Neodiprion lecontei: one gene and its partners. The protein of the gene in region 1 binds, or shares a complex with, the protein of each later gene. Links are inferred from orthologs where the notes say so. Each region holds a gene or a part of one and is shown in the gene's direction. Other genes may lie near its edges.

Region 1 (4,976 bases):
ATTATTGAGGAAGCTAACCAATTGTTTCCGAAATGATAACATGACTTTTGTTTATATGTCCATGGACTAGAGCTAAATAGTATTTCTTTGCTTTTCTACTTTCAAAGGCAGTGGTGGCTGCTTTGGCAGCCTGCTTATTGAGAGCCAAGCAAATAACTCCGCTTGTAGCATAATCAAGTCGATGAACGAAATGAAATTCGTGCCGTAGCTCTGGATTGACCAGTTCAGGGAACATCATTTGTATTTCCGTTTGTAAGGTGGACTAAAAATTGTACAAATCTGTGAATAGACCGTAACCACGTTATATTTATTATCTGAATGTTATCCATTATATTTAATAATTAAATGAATTACTTTATAATTCCGGTTATTGCTGTTTATAACCAAATCATATGGCTTATTTACTACTAAGAAATTATTACTGCGATATAAAACGTCTAAGGTATTATTTTCGTTCCCTTCCATTCTACCTATATGAATGTACAAGTTTCTCAAAAATTTCCGTTACCACACTACAAGTTAAGGCTTCGTATTTTTAATTTTAAAGCGCTGTTTTAACAATTCTTTGCTTTGGTTATAACCACAAGTTTCTCTAACCGTCCTAGCCTCAACTGGAAACTGTCACAAACGAAAGATTGGGTCAATTTTGTGCAACTGAAATTTTAACCGATTAAATAATCGTTGGTCAAGTTTATTGCAGAAAACACAGAACATAAAAATACATTCGTTTCAAATATAGAATGATCCGTTTGATCAGAACATTTATAAAATCGACACTCGATTCAGTTTGTAGAATAAGCTGCCGTTACTAACCAGAAACGGTTGCCTCCTAGGTATGAATGCTCTATGCCTGGGTCTGGCGGAGCACAATAATAAATTAAAAACTATAGATCTAAATCTAATAACACAATAGATTTTGCTTCATTTACTTTTATTACATTTATTGTCGTACATGTAGTAGATCTAGAAACCTAAGTGACGGTACGGAACGTATATCACGAGGGTCACGATTAGAAATTATCTTCATTGTAATATGTCAGACGACTTCAGTCATAATAAATACACTACGTATGAAAAATTTCAAGGTTTAAATGATCTCTCAAATGAAAAATAGATTTGCAAATGCCAGTTGAACACTTTTGGCCTTCAGTTTAGGCTTATGTTCAGACCAACACGTTAAAAATACTTCCATCATGCGTGAAAATTTGGGGTTAGTAAGTTGTGCAAAAAAAAAATAAAAAAATTATCGAATAAGAAATTGAATGCACATTACGTGACTTTATGCCGACTGGATACCTTCGCCACACCACGCTTTACGCAGTCGTACAAAGAATCGCGTGTGCATGTGTCGTAAGGCAATTTGAGGGATTTTTTTTATCCGGAACCGGCAGGAATCGGTCACTGAGCACTCGACAAAGTATGCGGGAATTGCGCACAAATTTGAGCAGGATAACCACCACTGATCTCTATATGACACTATAGAGATCAGTGATAGCCACCGTTCGAGCATAGTGAACAAGGCGTTCGAGTAAATTCGAGCGTGGTCGAGCAGCTAAACTGCAACCTTTGAAGCAGAGGACCCAATAATCTCTGGACGACCACACAGCGACGTAAACAAACGACGGTAGTGCGGCGTTGCCACGTCTTGCGTGACTTTAAAACCAGAATGAAATCAATATTTAATACTTATTTTTAATAATCGAAACAACCAAAAAAATTAGTGCAAAATGTAATTCTAAATTGATTGTACATCTTATCATTATTTGTGATCTATATAAGGATGGTTTTGAATATGTTTTTTATGCCTGTTTCTCGCTTGACCTACTCTACGCCGTTGTCTATGCTATAGCCGACGGAAACCTGGTTACTGTGTTTCCTGTGCTGTAAGCACGGACTCGGCTGTAAGCTTGATTTTAGAGTTGGTTGGTACAACTGTCGTAAAGAAGTTCGTTTGAATAGTGATGTCCACGGTGAGGCGGCGGTGGTTCGTCTTAACGATATTTTTCATCCTTTAACTGTGCGGCAAGAACAGCAAAAGGAATTCGAAATATTGTGGAATCATGTTCCACGATAAGAAGAGCGTTGATCGCCACGTGCAAGATATTTTACGAAAGCTGAAGACGGAAAATGAGGTAGGAGGTTATTCTCGTATGAAAACGTTACGCGGTGTATGATGAGTACCACCGAGTCACCGTACATGCACATGCAAATGTCGATCGTCCCGCCAGAAGTGATCCCTGCATTTCGATCTAATTCCTGTATCAATTCTACCGAACCACATCATCTTCTCATGCCAGCTTATGATCTAGCTATTTTCAATTTATTTTTAGTCATCGACTTGCACAATGTCGCATATTTATATATTATTATTCATTCCAAGGCCTTAAGTACTGGCTCGGAAGCTCTGTAGATATAACACGCACTCACACTTATCTACACATAACCTGTTATCCACACATAATATGATTTGCATCTCTCATGCCATTCCAGAACCGGGCTAACCAATGTTTTGCGGTTTCCTGATTATTCTTGGACAATCCATCGCACGCTGGATTGTTATTACTTCATTATCTCTTTGTTCATCATTGACTTTTTTATCCAATAAGAGACAATTGCCAATGTACTCTTCAAAAAGCTTCTACCTTCAAATATATATAATACATGTATCTTAAATTACCTTATCGTTCGGAGTCTAAGCCCACCCCGCATATAAGACGACCCCCAATTCCGAGACAGTATTTCAGGGTGTTTGCCTTGCTTACCCGCATATGAGACGAGTCCGCGTAGAAGACGAATGATTTCGGTTGGGGCTGTCAACGACAAAAAAACCTTGGTCTATATTTCCCTTGGATAAAATTAAAAAAAAAAACAGTTTGGGTGTAAATTCATACCCGTAACTAATAAATAATATTAAATTGCCATAAGAAAAAAGTTAACGGTGCAAATTTACACTCAAGTGGAAGGTTTTTTCCTAGAGGGTTGTAAAGACATCATATTTTCTGCTGGCCTTCTTAACCTTTTACTCAACTTGAGGTATTAGTAGTGTTAACTTGTATATAAAATTTAAAAATGAAGAGCTTTATTAAAATGAATTATCATACTTATGGCTATCTAAAACCACAACACAGTCTTTAAACCTAGGAATTAAGTTGTTTGAAATGGCTGCTAAGGTGGTTAGGATACAATTTTTGATCAGGAAAATTCTTTTACACTTTTTAAGCTTATAATTCCAGATAATTTATCGTCGTTTTTATTTAACTCAAACATATCTTTAAAGTCGTATTTTTTACTTTATTTAAAATAAAAGTTAGAGCATCATTATAAAAACTTGCTGACCACCCCTAGGTTTCCTTCACCCAACTCTTACGAGTTTAGGTTTTAGAGTTCATTATCTCCAAGGTAAAAATTTAATATAAATTACAGAGGAACCTGAGATGTTACAATATTGCTAAACTTTATTACCAAGTTGGTGATTACGAATCCGCAAGGAGATACGTGTCATGTTACCTAGAAGTGCGAGAAGATTCAGCTAACGCACATAAACTACTAGGTCAAACCCTCGAGGCTCTTGGTCAGAAAGAAGCTGCGTTAGCAAAATACAAGTGCTCCCTTGAAATTGATGGCAAACAAGACGATCTAGTCTTGAAAGGTGGGTTAATCTGTTTCACTCACCAAAAAAGAATAGCTGTAGTTTTAGGACTAGAAATTTTTCTGCTCGAAATTAATTTAACTATAGGTTTATTGCTATAAATAATATTTCTGACATCATTTGTATTTAGCTTAATGTACATGTTCGTTTTATGAAACAGTTTGTGAGATTCTGGCAGACACAGACGTAGGGATGGATGTCAGCAGAGCCAGATATTGGTTGGAAAGAGCAGACAAACAGTTCCCGCATCATCCTGTCGTATTTCAGCTGAAAGAAAAACTACTAACTGTAGATAGACCAAATGATAATGCCGAAGATCTTGAAGCACTTATAGCATGTAAGTTTATTGTATAAATTGTAATTATGTGAATCCTACTACTAAGATTCCATTTAATTCATTTTTCTTTGCTGTAGGAATGTCTTAAAATTTCGAAAATTGCGTACTTCTTACTAAGTCTGTCCTATAAATTTTCACACAAACTAGTTGTATGTGCTATTACAAGTATTTGAAATTAAGGTTTTTGCATTGAATCATTTTTTTACAATGAATCAAGTCACTAGTATAGTTTTAATTGAAATGTCTGCAATGGAAAGTTATTATGATTCACAATAACAATTCCAGTTCACTGCTTAAAAGCCTGTTTTTCGCAATTCTCAACATTGTGAATTATTTTTCCAGCTGAATTGTCAGCCAGACCAAAAGATGTAACATTGCGTGTCAAATTATTGCACCATTACATGGTGAAAAATAGACTCGAGGATGGATACAAACATGCCATGGGTGTGGAATCAACCTTTACCTTTAGGGATAATATCTCATGGTATCAAACAATTTGTGAATTGTTTGGAAAGTGCAAAGACAGCAAGTCTTCTGATTGGACTTTCTGGATGCTATACATTTCAGCTCTTGAAAGATTTGCCGCTCTGTCTCTTAAAGAGCAGGGTGATGGACCAAAAAAATCTATCCCCGAAGTTGCACAGGCAATATTGAAGTGAGTAAAGTGAGAAAGTGGTAACTAAAGAATTAGCAAATAGTAATTAAAAGACCTTACTATGTAATTAAACTCTTTAGTATCTTAATATTAGTTATAAAGTACACAAAATCGAGAACTTCAAGTGCGTCTGAAATTTTTAGGTTTTATCAGCAGTTCAATGCATTCAAGTATTCAGAAGTTATCCATTTTCAGTTTACACACATCTATAAGATACTTTTGTGTATAATTTTAGTTTCGACCAAAACCTGACAGAAGCAGAGCATCATAAGAAACTTTCAAACGATCCCACTTTTGCTGAACATATGTTTGCGCACATGTGGGGCCAATTACAC
Region 2 (4,966 bases), about 3.2 Mb from region 1:
AAACAGAGTATTTTTATGGCATATGTAATTCGTTTATTGCACTAGTTGATTCTCGTGTTCAGAAATCAAAACCTTACTTAATTTAACCCTTTAAGCCAGCGGTTTCTTATTCTAAAAGCACTGTTAGTATTTATTCTTCGCGTTTTGCCATTCACACCTCAATACATGAAATATTTCACAGGTTCAGTTATCTGATGTATTATTGAATCGACTTATAAATACACTTCTATCTAAATAATAATAGCAACCAAGTATAAAAAATTTGCAGAAATTAATTAGGTTTTTTGTAACAACAAACGTTCTCTAGATATGTATGGTATTGATATCGAATTTTTTTATCATTCTGGGCTGTTAATCATGTTCTCTTACGCTTTTGTGTCATAAGTGTGTTATTTCATGACGCGAAGACTCCAAGTTCACAAGTTTAATGCAAACATAAATTCATGGTCATTTTTTGAAAGTTACATTTTTGATTTGCATTATTTTTGTCAAGCAGCTAGAAGTTAGATTACTAACTTCAAACAATGCAGTACATATCTCATGATCATGTTTCCTAATTAATTACATTTTACTTCATTATTAGCAGAATTGAATGCGTTTTTTTGGTAAAGATGCCATGCTTACTGTATCTCCTCATTGAATATTCCTTATTGACAAGATACTTTAGTTTGTAAAGAAATACAAGGAAGAAAGAGTCGATAGTAACATGGTATAACGGTTTCTTCAATTGTTCTTAATGAACTGTATAGCCTGAATAATTACATATCAGGCAACGGTACTTTGACCAAACGAAATAAAATATCCCAAATCTGATTGTTGTCCCGCAAACTTCACGATTTACTATTTATCTGTCAGAGTTTTCGTTGAAGTGTTATGACATTACTCGAATGGGTATTGACACTAACATGTGTATCTTTAAAATAAGCACAACAATAACGAAATATGAGGATGCACTTATTGCCACCTAGTTTTTGACAAAGATTAAAAAAAAAAATTGGATCGTCAAAGGATATATCTAACAAGCCTTTAGAGCACATTGACAATATGTATACATTATTACATCGCTCTTTATTCATCCCTGTGAGAATGTTCTTCATTTAATAACGTTACAATTTAGTTAGTTATATCTTTGAGTATGGTAGACATAGTTTAACGTTTGCAGTAATGTAAGGGAAAAAAATTGATAATTTTACAGCGAAGGTTGAAGTAAGGAGACCATTTCAAATATCTCATTTTGAAGTGCTTATTTCAATTGTAATCATATTTTGAATAAAAAATGTTTAAAATAACATTCTATTGGCTTTTAATTGAACATGTACTCTTTACACATTCCACTCCCAAATATTATACCTGTAAATGTATGTGCATACGCTGAAAAACATCTCAAGTTATTGCTTGTTTAAAATTTTCGGTGCTAAATTAGACTGATTTTAATGGCAACCGATGGTGCTGAATTTGGATTGTTGCTGTACAATAAATCCAAGACAAAAAAATCCACAGCGGTCATAAGAAAAACAATGCTTTCGGAACGTAAACAACCCCTCTGCCCCAACCTACATGAATGACAAATATAGAGCGGGAATGTCTTTTAACTCTACCCTGAAGAGCCTACCACTCTAGAGCAAGCGAGAGCAATTTAGCCTTTGCTGGGGAACGATTGCAAATTGTCTACTTCGCCAATTGAGAGATAAAGAAACTGCACTGTTGCTTATACCTCTGCCGATGTCTCACGTAACGAAGTGGGGAAATTATAAATATAACTCACAAAATGACGTCGCATGGAGCCAATGATAGGACTCCGTATCGCCGTCTCGTAAACATATCGTTACAATGAGACTCCGCCTTAATAGACAGACACCCGCAACGCAGGCCACCGCAGATCCCGTAACAACACATGCCTGCAGTATTGGAAAATCGGTGATTAATGCGATTTTCTGTATTGTGGCGGTGTGCTTATTGCAAACCGTGTTCTATTAGTGAGTAGTTAAGTTTTGGTAATTATTGCGAGTAATTAGCAAGGTGCGATACGTCAGAGCAGTAAGTAAATGAAAATATTCGTCACATCTCTAATTGCGCCATTTCTGCATCTAACATAACCTGAATTGTTTGTATGCTATTGAATAAGATTCATCATTTTCAATATGTTATCCGTCTTTTCCATTAAATGACGAACACGTACGGCTTCCATGTGTTTTGTAAACAAGGATTGTTCGTAAATGTTGGCGGGGTCGGAGGTATGTAATAAGTGTGATGCAGCTATCTACTTGCGAATCACTCACAGGCATACAATCACTGCAAAATTCTTTTTCGTTGATATTTTTTCTCTATATACATATATAGGTATATATATCGTTGGCTCACGAGTGCTGATTGATGATATTTCACGTGTTGGCAATAATTTATAACCATCATATTTTATCAACATTTCTAATACGTATGTATCGTAATGAATTAATAGATCAGGAAATAAATAATCTCTTCTCTTACAAGTATTTTGAAGAATTACCAGGCATCTTTATTTATCACAAATATCAATGAGTGTCACTACTGCGGTAACAATCAGATGATCACGGTCATTTATATTAGTTGCAAGTATTCGGAATTATATTTACCTTTTACACTTATACATTTCTTTATTTGATGATTGATGCCATAATTTTGAACATTTTAGAAAGCTGCGGATAGTCCTTGTGCTAAATACGGTCATTAAAAATGTTTGGACAATCTGCTAATACTTCATTTGGTAAGTACCAATAAATTTTTTGTTCCTTATCTGCTTATTAATGCATTGGGTGCCTTTAACGAAATACTAAATTAATTTTATTTTAAACCCATCCATTATCCTGTTCTCGCTTGAACTGAGTCTGATCTAATCAGTTGTTGTTACTCTCCTTAAATATAAAGTGGTTACTTGAATAACTCCCTTTATTTAGTTGAAATTATGTGATACGCTCTGGAACTACAATAATGTAATTTGCATGAGTTTAATTTACGTCAGTAATTTCAAAGCAAAACGTTCTTTGAAACGTTATTACATGAAAATTGTCCTAATGAAACCGCAGTCAAACAACACAATCATATTTTCTTTACCACAATGTAAGAACTCATGTCATGCTTGATCCAATGCTCGGACAATATATCTATCACTTAATTATACCTGAACAGTTGAGTTAGGTGATAATAAAAATAAAATTTCAATTTTTTCAAATAATTACCACACGAAAGCCGTAGTAACCATTTTTTCATTAGAGCAAACTTACACTGAATCCCTTGCCGCCAGAGTCAGTCTGTGAAAGTAGTGGCCAACTACCAGCCCTGCACGTCCCAACATAAAGAACGTCTGTGCTGTATTAATTGTCACTTATTGATAAGAAATAGTTGTTTTAACAATCGAAATTTCATGCTTCAATTTTATTCTAAACATGGTATTCTGTTCATTGATGCCTGCATAAAACGTTATGCTATAATTTGATGTCTGTTAATGGTGAGCTGGTACCTTTGTACTTAAAAATTAATAAATATAGGAGGGTTTGGTGCAGGGACCCAGAGTAGCCCATTTAGTCAATCTCCATTTGGAAAACCCATCACAACAACGAGTTTTGGTGGTACAGCAGCACCAGTGTTCGGCAGTACCAACAATTCTCTGTTCGGCGCAAAGCCTGCGGGAGCGACGACAGGCGGACTATTTGGCAATACGGCAGCAACACCTGCTTTTGGACAACCAGCCACCAGTCAGTCATCATTTGGAGGTAATTTCTCAAAATGAATCGTCTATTATCAATTCTGTTTACTTTATATGATTAAGAACTCTGTATTGTTATAAACGTAGTTCTAGCGAAACTGTTTACAATATGATATCTGTCATATATTTCTGCTATGATAAAAAAAATAGACAAGAAGTTTCAAATTTACTTAATATTATATGATTACGTATTATAAATGAAAATTATCCAATCGTGCATAATTTCAGGATTCAGTAACCCAAATACGAACACCGGTCTCTTTGGTAATCAGCAAAATGCAAACACCAGTCTATTTGGAACAAGCAATCCTACCCCTGCTTTTGGTCAAGGAACTAAACCAGCAGGGTTTGGCTTTGGGAGTTCAGCTGGAACAGGATTATTTGGACAAACACAGCAACCTACTCAACAAACTGCACCGTCCCTTTTTGCACCATCCAATACAGCTGCAAATACCAGCTTATTTGGAGCTACAACTGGTAAATTAACCCGATGCTGATGAAAGTATTTCATTTAGGTATTCATCAAATCTTGTCAATCATATTTCATTGTACAGGATTTGCTGGAAATAATACTGCAGGTGGGATGAGTGGTACAGTGGTGAAATTTAACCCTCTTACTGGTACTGATACAATGATAAAAAATGGCGTTACCCAAACCATATCAACTCGACACTATTGCATTACTTGCATGAAGGAATACGAAGGAAAATCTCTGGAGGAATTGCGTTTAGAAGACTACACAGCAGGTCGTAAGGGACAAGTTCAAGGTAAGCTTTTCATCCTCGTATAAACTTTGGCAAACGGCAATGTTGACAACAACTTTTCAGTAACTCTTCAGTAACTTTAGGTGATATATGGCCGAAAATTTTTCGAAATACGGACTTGTACTTTATTTTTCAATTCTTCTGTGGCTAGACAGCCAAAAAACAAATTTCACACGCACATATATGAGATTGAGCAACAGAATCCAGCTGTATCTGAGCATATACTGAGAAAAAATACTGAAGATTCTGTAAAAGATTAGCTACACAGGCTTCGTACTTCCCATCAAAATTGGAGTTGAAGTAAAGATGAACATTCCTCTTTGAGAAATATAAATCCCAAAAAAAAATAGTAAATAGTAATAATACTAAGATTTTCGGAAACTAGAATATTGACATCTTTCAATACATTTCACGATTTATTTAGGATTTTGATTACAGTGAAGCCTGGTTTATGCATGAC
Region 3 (7,746 bases), on another chromosome or scaffold:
TGAAATTGAATTACATAAATGTTGGCTGTTACATAACAAACTCTGTGAAAATATTGTTTTACGATATCATTTTATTGTTGTAATGCAATCTGTACAATTTCGAGCAAACAACTGAGGTAATTACTTCATTTGCTGATGTACGCAAAAAATAACTGGAACGTTTATTTCGTTCGGTAACAATATAATTATAATAGAAGTATTCGGAAAGATTCTACAAGAATATTTCAACCCCACGGAACTAGACGAACAGATCGTTTTCTTATAAGACAATATGTGTCAATAAAGCGAGTATAATTCAATAATGCTGTGCTGTATCTTACGATTTTTTCTTAAACTTATATTTTTCTGCCAACATTAGGTTGCGCAAATTACACAATAAGCATTATGGTGCCGTTGATAGAATCATTGAAAATTTGTCACAGACACGAGTCCATTTATAGAAGGGAACGGAGATTAACCATATAAATAAAAGAAGAAGGAAACTACAGTGGAAGACAAACAAAGAGTGCAAGAAAATTTTTTCGGAAAACTGGATAATTACGTGACGTTCCAGCCATGGATGGAGAAAGATTAAATAAGGACGTTTTCTCCAGCAATCGCAATATTTCTTATAGCCTCCGCTATAAGGAGAGAGGTACTGTCTAATAACGATTGTGCATGTTATGTTTCGATTTATAAATCAAGCAAGACGTAATTTGTACAAATTGTTCTCACTTTTATTTTGAATATCCGTTTAAAATTTTAGGCTATTGTCTAAATCATGCCGGAGTTATTATACTTTTAATTTTTCGTGATCTTACACTGATTCTTATGGAAAACAGTTAGGCATTTAAAATAAAAGTGAGAACAATTTGTATAATTTTCATTGACCTAGCACTATTTTGATTCACACGCCTATACATCCTTAAATAATTTAATTGGATCTTTTAATCGTTTTATTTAATCGGACATACTTTAGTAAATTCCACAGGTCCTGGTGACACAAGTCCAACAGTCGAGTTATGAGCTTGATGGGTCAGTATTATTTTATTAGCATATAATGGCAAACAAAGAAAGTAAATGTACAAATATCCTTGTCTACTTTCAAGAACCTGAAATTAAATTTCATGTATAGGACACTACGCAAATACAGTAGAAATTTTTTTCCATTAGAATTAAATTAAGTGGTTATTCTTCTCTAATTATGGAAAATATTGTAAAACCTCCCTGCTGTAAAATCATGCTATTGAAATGAGAGTAACTCTTCAATTCATAATTCAAATCATTAGAGCCAACGATAGGAAGATGCTTCAAAAAAATATAATTCTTACTATTACGTGAGATAAATTCGTCATATATTTAGTAACTAGTCGAGAAAAACGCAAATTTAAAAAAGCACAAAAGTCATGATTTATTAACAAAGTGTCTAATAATTGTAGTACAAGGTGCGTGCGTTGACTGAAGACTATAAGTCTTCAGACAACGGTGCGTGTAAATACTTGGTTATACATAAATAAACATATACAAGAGTGGTATCAATCTGTAAAAGCGGAGTTTGATAGTTCAATCTTATCCAAATTTCAAATATCTGTACATGATATAGGTATAGTACCGTGATTACTATCATTCAAATAAATTGCGCGCAAGTGACGTCACTGACGAGTAAGCAGTTCGATTGCTCGGGGATATTCATTATAACAAAACGACGCCGTAGACCTGACGAACGATTACAGAGCGCAAGCGTGCTTTGCGAGCCAATCATATCACAGAGTTGATCGAACGGCCAATTAACAGCTGGGAGTTTATTTCTGGTCGAATAATACATAGAATATCACTTTCGTGTGTGCGTGTTGTATGATAGAACTTCCGACTGTGTATTAGCCAGTGTTATTTGGGGTTATGTTTCTTAATTTGTACTAATTCTTTAAATAAACAAATTATCAAAATGTCCTTTGGTACTGGATTTGGGACTTCTACCCCCTCAGCAACACCAAATTTTGGATTTGGGGCGCAAGCTTCAGGCACAGCCACAGCAGCGAAACCGAGTAAGTATGAACTAGAACTTGGTGTATTTTCAAACAATAACCTAAATGACTACAAATTCATAACAATAAATTTTACTTATTAGTTCTAAATTCGCTGATGTGATCGGCACGAAAAAAGTATCTACGTTCTTACGAATTGCACTACGATGTGTTTAAGGCAGTAGAGAGCGATCGAATTGTCTGGGTAGTTTAAGCTTTACCAAAGATTGACCACGACACTCCGCTCTTTCTAGTTAATATGACATTTTTTATTCCAAATCCTAGCTCAGTCATAATCTCCAACCTATAAAATCATCCTCAGAGTATGAAACATCTATTGCGTTAGGTTACTTCTTGAGCAATTGATCCGACGACCGAGAATTCATATGTTTCACTGATGCTTCTGAATTCTTTGTTGATTGTCCGAGATCCATATCTTCTCCTGGGCACTCTTCGTCGCACGTCTCTTGATTTCTACCTTGCACTGTGCAAAAACCTTTCCTCCTAAGTCTGGCAAGTATGCAGGCAAGAACGCAGCATACTAGCACTAGAATTCCTAAGAGCAATCCCAAAACTATCAATATCGTTTGACTCGATTCGTCTGAAGATCCATTTTGACCAGATGCAATGGATTGCATGGTGGTGGTAGTCTGAGTAGTAACAATCGGCGTGGTGCTTTCAGATAGTTCATGCAGTATAGTGGACATATCGCCTATAGTATCCTGGAAATAAAATAATAAAGTACCAAATATTGTAATATTGAGTCTGAGAACAAAGCAAAAAATCTTCATCACATCAGTATTGCACACAAGTTATTATGTATATATATGTGTGTTTCATCAACTTTGGTTAGTTACAATGAGCAAGGAGTGCGGAATTTCTGACAATGACGGTAATCGAATATGTATAAAGGGAACTTTAAATTACTCCAAATGATTCCCCTGTGGTTCCCAGTTCATTTTCAAACTCCGTAACTTCGTCAACAGGACTAGTACTCACTTGGCGTGGATAGGGATGGGTGTGTTCATCGTATGAGTTATGATTTAGTTGCTTTGGATTAGAATTGGAAGCATGGTAAAGTATTTCCATTATTCTTATTGCGTTGCAATGGGTGAATGAGAAACTGAGGTAATTTTATGTTAATTGTATTGTAAAGTCAACAAACACATTGTTAATCTACATGGTATCCAAATTTTGAATCAGCTTAGTTGATTATAAAGCATGATAATAGTAGTACAATATTGATATACGTACCAGCCGTTGGTGTTTTACGTTTTTGGAAAAGCTCATCTTGATTTGCGAAAAATAAATAGTCACACTACGTTTACCTTCACTGACAGCTTTATAGTCATTAAACCCTGTTGATGCTTGAGCAGCCGAGAATCCCTCAAAGCTGGAACAAGGAAAGTATCAGCTTCCGACAACTTGTTGAAGTCACATTTAACCGGATGTTCGTGGTCGGTTTTTCCCACCACAGAGATACGTAGAAATGATGAAAGAAACATTATATCGTAGGCAAATCTTCGTCTTTTGTGCTACTTTATATTTTTCGCGATACATAATTTTAATAGATAGGAAACCAGTCTTACCAAATATTGTGTAAGAATTATACTTCATCAATCTAGTCAGAATTACAATTCGATAAATAGAACTTCAGAAGAAAATTAATTTCATGTTTCTTGACATCAAAAACTTGGTCACGTTTTGACATTTCCCCTAGAAATCTGTCTACATATTGAAATTGTTAGACACACCTGGTTGTCTTTTGTCGAGCGCTGATTTTTATTACCACGTCATCCATGATTTCTGGGGAAAACATCTGACGGCTTGGTACAATTGCCTTTATAGCGAACATTTGATCTTTGAACTCTGATGTAAATCGGAAATTTTCATAATACACTGGAATAAAAGTTCAAGGATGCGGTTGACACTTCAGAATATTACATTGCCTCAGATGAGTTGCTTTTTGCATATACATGAGACCCGGTCTATTCAATTTCCGAATAGTGAACATAATTTTATTATCTGCAACTAGGGCACAATGCTAAAATTCTTACATGACAAGTTTGAAAGATTTAAGAAATGGGGTATTTATTCACTATGAATTTAATTTCTGTACCAAGTCCATTAAATAATACAATACGCTCACACCCGCCAACACATCAAACTATTGAATAATGTGTAAAAAGAGACAGCAGAATTATCACACTTGTAATTTAGAAATATAGTCAAGTAATAATTTGTTTTTTAATTGAAAAAAGTTTGCTTCGAAGAGTAATTCATTTTATTTATATTATCTTAGCTGGTTTTGGTACACCATCGTTTGGATTCGGCACTCCGGCTACATCAGCACCAGCTCTTGGAGGATTTGGTACCCCTGCAACACAGGCACCTGCCTTTGGAACTAGCGGTGGCTTTGGTACATCAACAGTCGGAGGATTTGGAACACCAGCCACGAGTACGATAACATTTGGCACTCCAGGTTCATCTTTCGGGTTTGGGACAGGTGCAGGATTTGGTGGTACGCCAGCAACTTCATCTACGGCATTCAGTGGATTTGGGACAACTGCGACTACAAGTTCAACAGGTTTCGGTGGATTTGGTTCGTTCCCAACCATGGCGACATCTTCAGCACCGAGCTTATTTGGTGGCTTTAGCACATCAGGCACAACAACAACAGGATTCGGCACAACAGGATTTGGTGGATTTGGTGCTAAGCCAGCTGCAATAAATACAACAGGCTTCAGCAGCTTTGGAACAGGTTAACTGAAATCCGAATTTGGAAAAAATATTAGAAATAATATATTTTCCAAGCACCCTGGAACTCTTGTACTAATCCAATCTTAATGCATTCAAACGCTAGAGGAGAAAGGACAGATAATTATATTTTAATTGCCCGTACTTGAAATATCTTCACCACTATGAGAGACATGATTTTACCTAAGACGTTATTTTTCAGGTTCTGGTCTTACTGGGTTAGGAACAACTCTTACCCAACCGCAACAACAGCAGCAACAGCAACAACCGCAGCAACAATCTGTGAATGCGATATCGGAAGCACTTTATAATGCAGTATTTAACTGCCAACTTTTTAATGACGAACGTGATAATACCATAGCAAGATGGAACTTGATCCAAGCATTATGGGGTACTGGAAAAGCTTACTACTCGTCGGTGGCACCTCCTATAGATTTGACACAAGAAAATCCTTTGTGTAGATTCAAAGCTATTGGTTATAGCTGTATGCCAGATGCAGATAACAATGATGGACTGGTCGTTATTTGTTTCAACAAAAAGGAACAGGAATTAAAAGATGGAAAACAGACGTTGATTACATCACTCAACACCATTCTCGGAAATAAACCAAATTTAACATTAACTGTTGATACTATAAAATCGACAGATGACAATAAAAGTCACGTGACAATCTGCGTATCTGAAAAAGGTGTGACAGGATTGTCTAGGAAAATTCCGGCAAACGAGTTAGTTAGTTTCTTTACACAGACTATGCAAAAACAACAGCTGGCCCAAATGGGCGTGGAAAACATTTTTCCACAGGTTAAATTAGACCCTAGTCAACTGAAGGAATATTTGGATAACCCACCGTCGTCTATTGATCCCAGATTATGGAAGCAAGCGCAATTAGATAATCCAAACCCAGAGAAATATATTCCAGTGCCAATGATTGGGTTCAATCAAGTTAAATATAGATTGAAATGCCAAGAAGAAGAAACAGCCAAGCATAGAGCATTTCTAGACTTGGCTGCAGAAAGAATTCAAAGTTTACAGAGACAACACACTGCAACTCAAGCAAGATTGAAAGAACATCGACGAAATTTACTCGAGCTGCAACACCGAGTTTTACAGGTGAAGAGGATCTTGATAATTTTATTTCATTCTACTTCTACGCACTGGGTGGGCCAAAAAAACCGGACCGAGTTAAAACGTGAATAAATTTCGAACGCATCGACCAATTTTCGAAACTCTTTTTACTCGAAATTAAAAACATAAACCTTTCGTTTTGTGTTCGGAAATCTAGAAAATCTTCATCCTTGCTGAGATACACGATTTTGAAAAACAGATTTTGCAAAATTCGCTGGGAGGATAAAAAAAAATTATTATTAAAGAATGTTTAGCCTAATTTTCATCTTAAATTGTGATTTGAAGTTCAAATTTTCAAACGCGAAACAAATTGTTTATTGTCCTAATTTCAAGCAAAAAAGAAAATTTTCATAATAAAGTCAATGCATTCGGATTTTATTCACGTCTAAATTTGGTGCGATTTTTTTTTACTTACCCCGTATACTGGGCCATTTCATTTGGATTCGTCAAATTTTTTTTACCATCATACTGCTTTACTTAATGTAATAATACGTTTCATAAATGAATTTCTAGGTGCTGGTTCGTCAAGAAATAACGCGCAAGGTTGGGTTAGCATTACAACCTGAAGAAGAAGTGCTAACAAATAGGTTTGAAGCAATGCATTCGCAAATAAGTGCTCCGACACAGTTTAAGGGAAGAATCAGTGAAATGCTTTCACAACTGAGAATGAGACGGCATATGGACTCTCAAAACCACGAACGATATACTATGGATCCTATTGCCCAAGACGATATTAAAACCGTGAGTATATTTCATATCTTTAGTACAAAACTTAGTTTACTCTTCCTAATTATGAAGTTATCACAATTGCAAGACCAGAGTCAATTTTGTGGTCAACATTTAAAACTAATTTTTTGTTTTTAACAAAACTGATCAGTATCAGCTTAGGATGTACGAGACAAGTGTATCCTTACATTGCTTTACATTCGCTAATATCAATTAATATGTATTGTCCTTCGTTGCAGTATTTAACTATGGAACAGCAAGGAATGTCTCAACTCATTTCTACAATCAACGCTGATCTGGAGTGCCTGAAAATAATTAAGGATGGCATGTCCGATCTCCTCACGAGTCACAGCATCTCTTGAAATACAGCGTATCGTTAATTATCGTCAAGTCTTTTGAAAAAAAATGCACCGGTCATGCAATTTCCAAGTTGAGATGGTGGAAACGAGGGGAAGTGGCTTTCTATCTATTACGGACAATTATGTAATAAACTTCTTTGAAACTGCTGTAATTTACCGTACTTGATTCGTAATAATGCCGGACATCCGTCAGCAGTGAATTTCCCTCCCTGTTTTGAAAGTGAATTCATTGCTTAAGCAAAGACTCGCCACATTTATTGAACCGTCGCATACATAACCACATCCAATTCATAAATGGATATTTTCCACGCCTTATAAATGTATCGGATGTGTGTTGATGATGAATAATTGAATCAGCGTAAATCCCTTGTACGATGTGTGTAAAAGTTGGTATATCAACTATCATTTTGATATATCACACTGTAGTGGGTACGTGACTGACAAAACCGTCCCGCTTTATAAAAATTTTTCTTGCAATGATGAAGTATCATGTTCATATTCAGACTACTTTGATGTCGTAAATCAAAATGTTACTCATCAAAATTTAAAAGACATTTATCAAAGTCTGCCACATTTATATGAATATACGTGTGTGTACAGCTATGATGAAGCGACTATTTACAGCTATTTGAAATAGCAGAATTTACAATACATTTCAGAAACTGTTGAAGCGATTCTATTGAAACTCTAATCATTTCGAAATGAGGAAAACCGCCACGGTGAATTGTAATGTTACATAATATGCACGCACACAGACAGAAGTCCATTTGAAAATT

The links. The genes of interacting proteins can lie anywhere in the genome.
Region 2: E3 SUMO-protein ligase RanBP2 (region 1) and nuclear pore complex protein Nup98-Nup96 share a complex: the UniProt entries of both Drosophila melanogaster proteins name them as parts of the nuclear pore complex. The link is inferred for Neodiprion lecontei from reciprocal best matches to the Drosophila melanogaster genes Nup358 and Nup98-96.
Region 3: E3 SUMO-protein ligase RanBP2 (region 1) and nuclear pore complex protein Nup54 share a complex: the UniProt entries of both Drosophila melanogaster proteins name them as parts of the nuclear pore complex. The link is inferred for Neodiprion lecontei from reciprocal best matches to the Drosophila melanogaster genes Nup358 and Nup54.

The regions. Positions count from the first base shown.
Region 1 is NC_060263.1:26,801,398-26,806,373, forward strand, and holds the start of E3 SUMO-protein ligase RanBP2, read left to right. Parts: upstream 1-1,916; 5' UTR 1,917-2,060; coding exon 2,061-2,132; intron 2,133-3,423; coding exon 3,424-3,649; intron 3,650-3,809; coding exon 3,810-3,986; intron 3,987-4,328; coding exon 4,329-4,641; intron 4,642-4,876; coding exon 4,877-4,976. Other genes in the region: RNA pseudouridylate synthase domain-containing protein 1, read right to left, coding at 19-262, 355-465. UniProt on the Drosophila melanogaster protein: E3 SUMO-protein ligase. Component of the nuclear pore complex (NPC), a complex required for trafficking across the nuclear envelope.
Region 2 is NC_060263.1:23,590,512-23,595,477, forward strand, and holds the start of nuclear pore complex protein Nup98-Nup96, read left to right. Parts: upstream 1-1,842; 5' UTR 1,843-2,037; intron 2,038-2,083; exon of another isoform or gene 2,084-2,234; intron 2,235-2,490; exon of another isoform or gene 2,491-2,588; intron 2,589-2,671; 5' UTR 2,672-2,712; coding exon 2,713-2,743; intron 2,744-3,524; coding exon 3,525-3,749; intron 3,750-3,970; coding exon 3,971-4,219; intron 4,220-4,296; coding exon 4,297-4,509; intron 4,510-4,966. UniProt on the Drosophila melanogaster protein: Part of the nuclear pore complex (NPC). Required for MAD import as part of the Nup107-160 complex and required for nuclear export of Moe probably via its association with Rae1. Plays a role in nuclear mRNA export.
Region 3 is NC_060262.1:32,774,588-32,782,333, reverse strand, and holds nuclear pore complex protein Nup54, read left to right. Parts: upstream 1-1,714; 5' UTR 1,715-1,924; coding exon 1,925-2,024; exon of another isoform or gene 2,025-2,350; coding exon of another isoform or gene 2,351-2,725; intron 2,726-3,257; coding exon of another isoform or gene 3,258-3,293; exon of another isoform or gene 3,294-3,414; intron 3,415-4,305; coding exon 4,306-4,764; intron 4,765-4,962; coding exon 4,963-5,870; intron 5,871-6,398; coding exon 6,399-6,626; intron 6,627-6,850; coding exon 6,851-6,973; 3' UTR 6,974-7,122; downstream 7,123-7,746. Other genes in the region: uncharacterized protein LOC107226633, read right to left, coding at 2,351-2,725, 3,258-3,293. UniProt on the Drosophila melanogaster protein: Component of the nuclear pore complex (NPC), a complex required for the trafficking across the nuclear envelope. Essential for the nuclear import of nuclear localization signal (NLS)-containing proteins in an importin alpha/importin beta-dependent manner.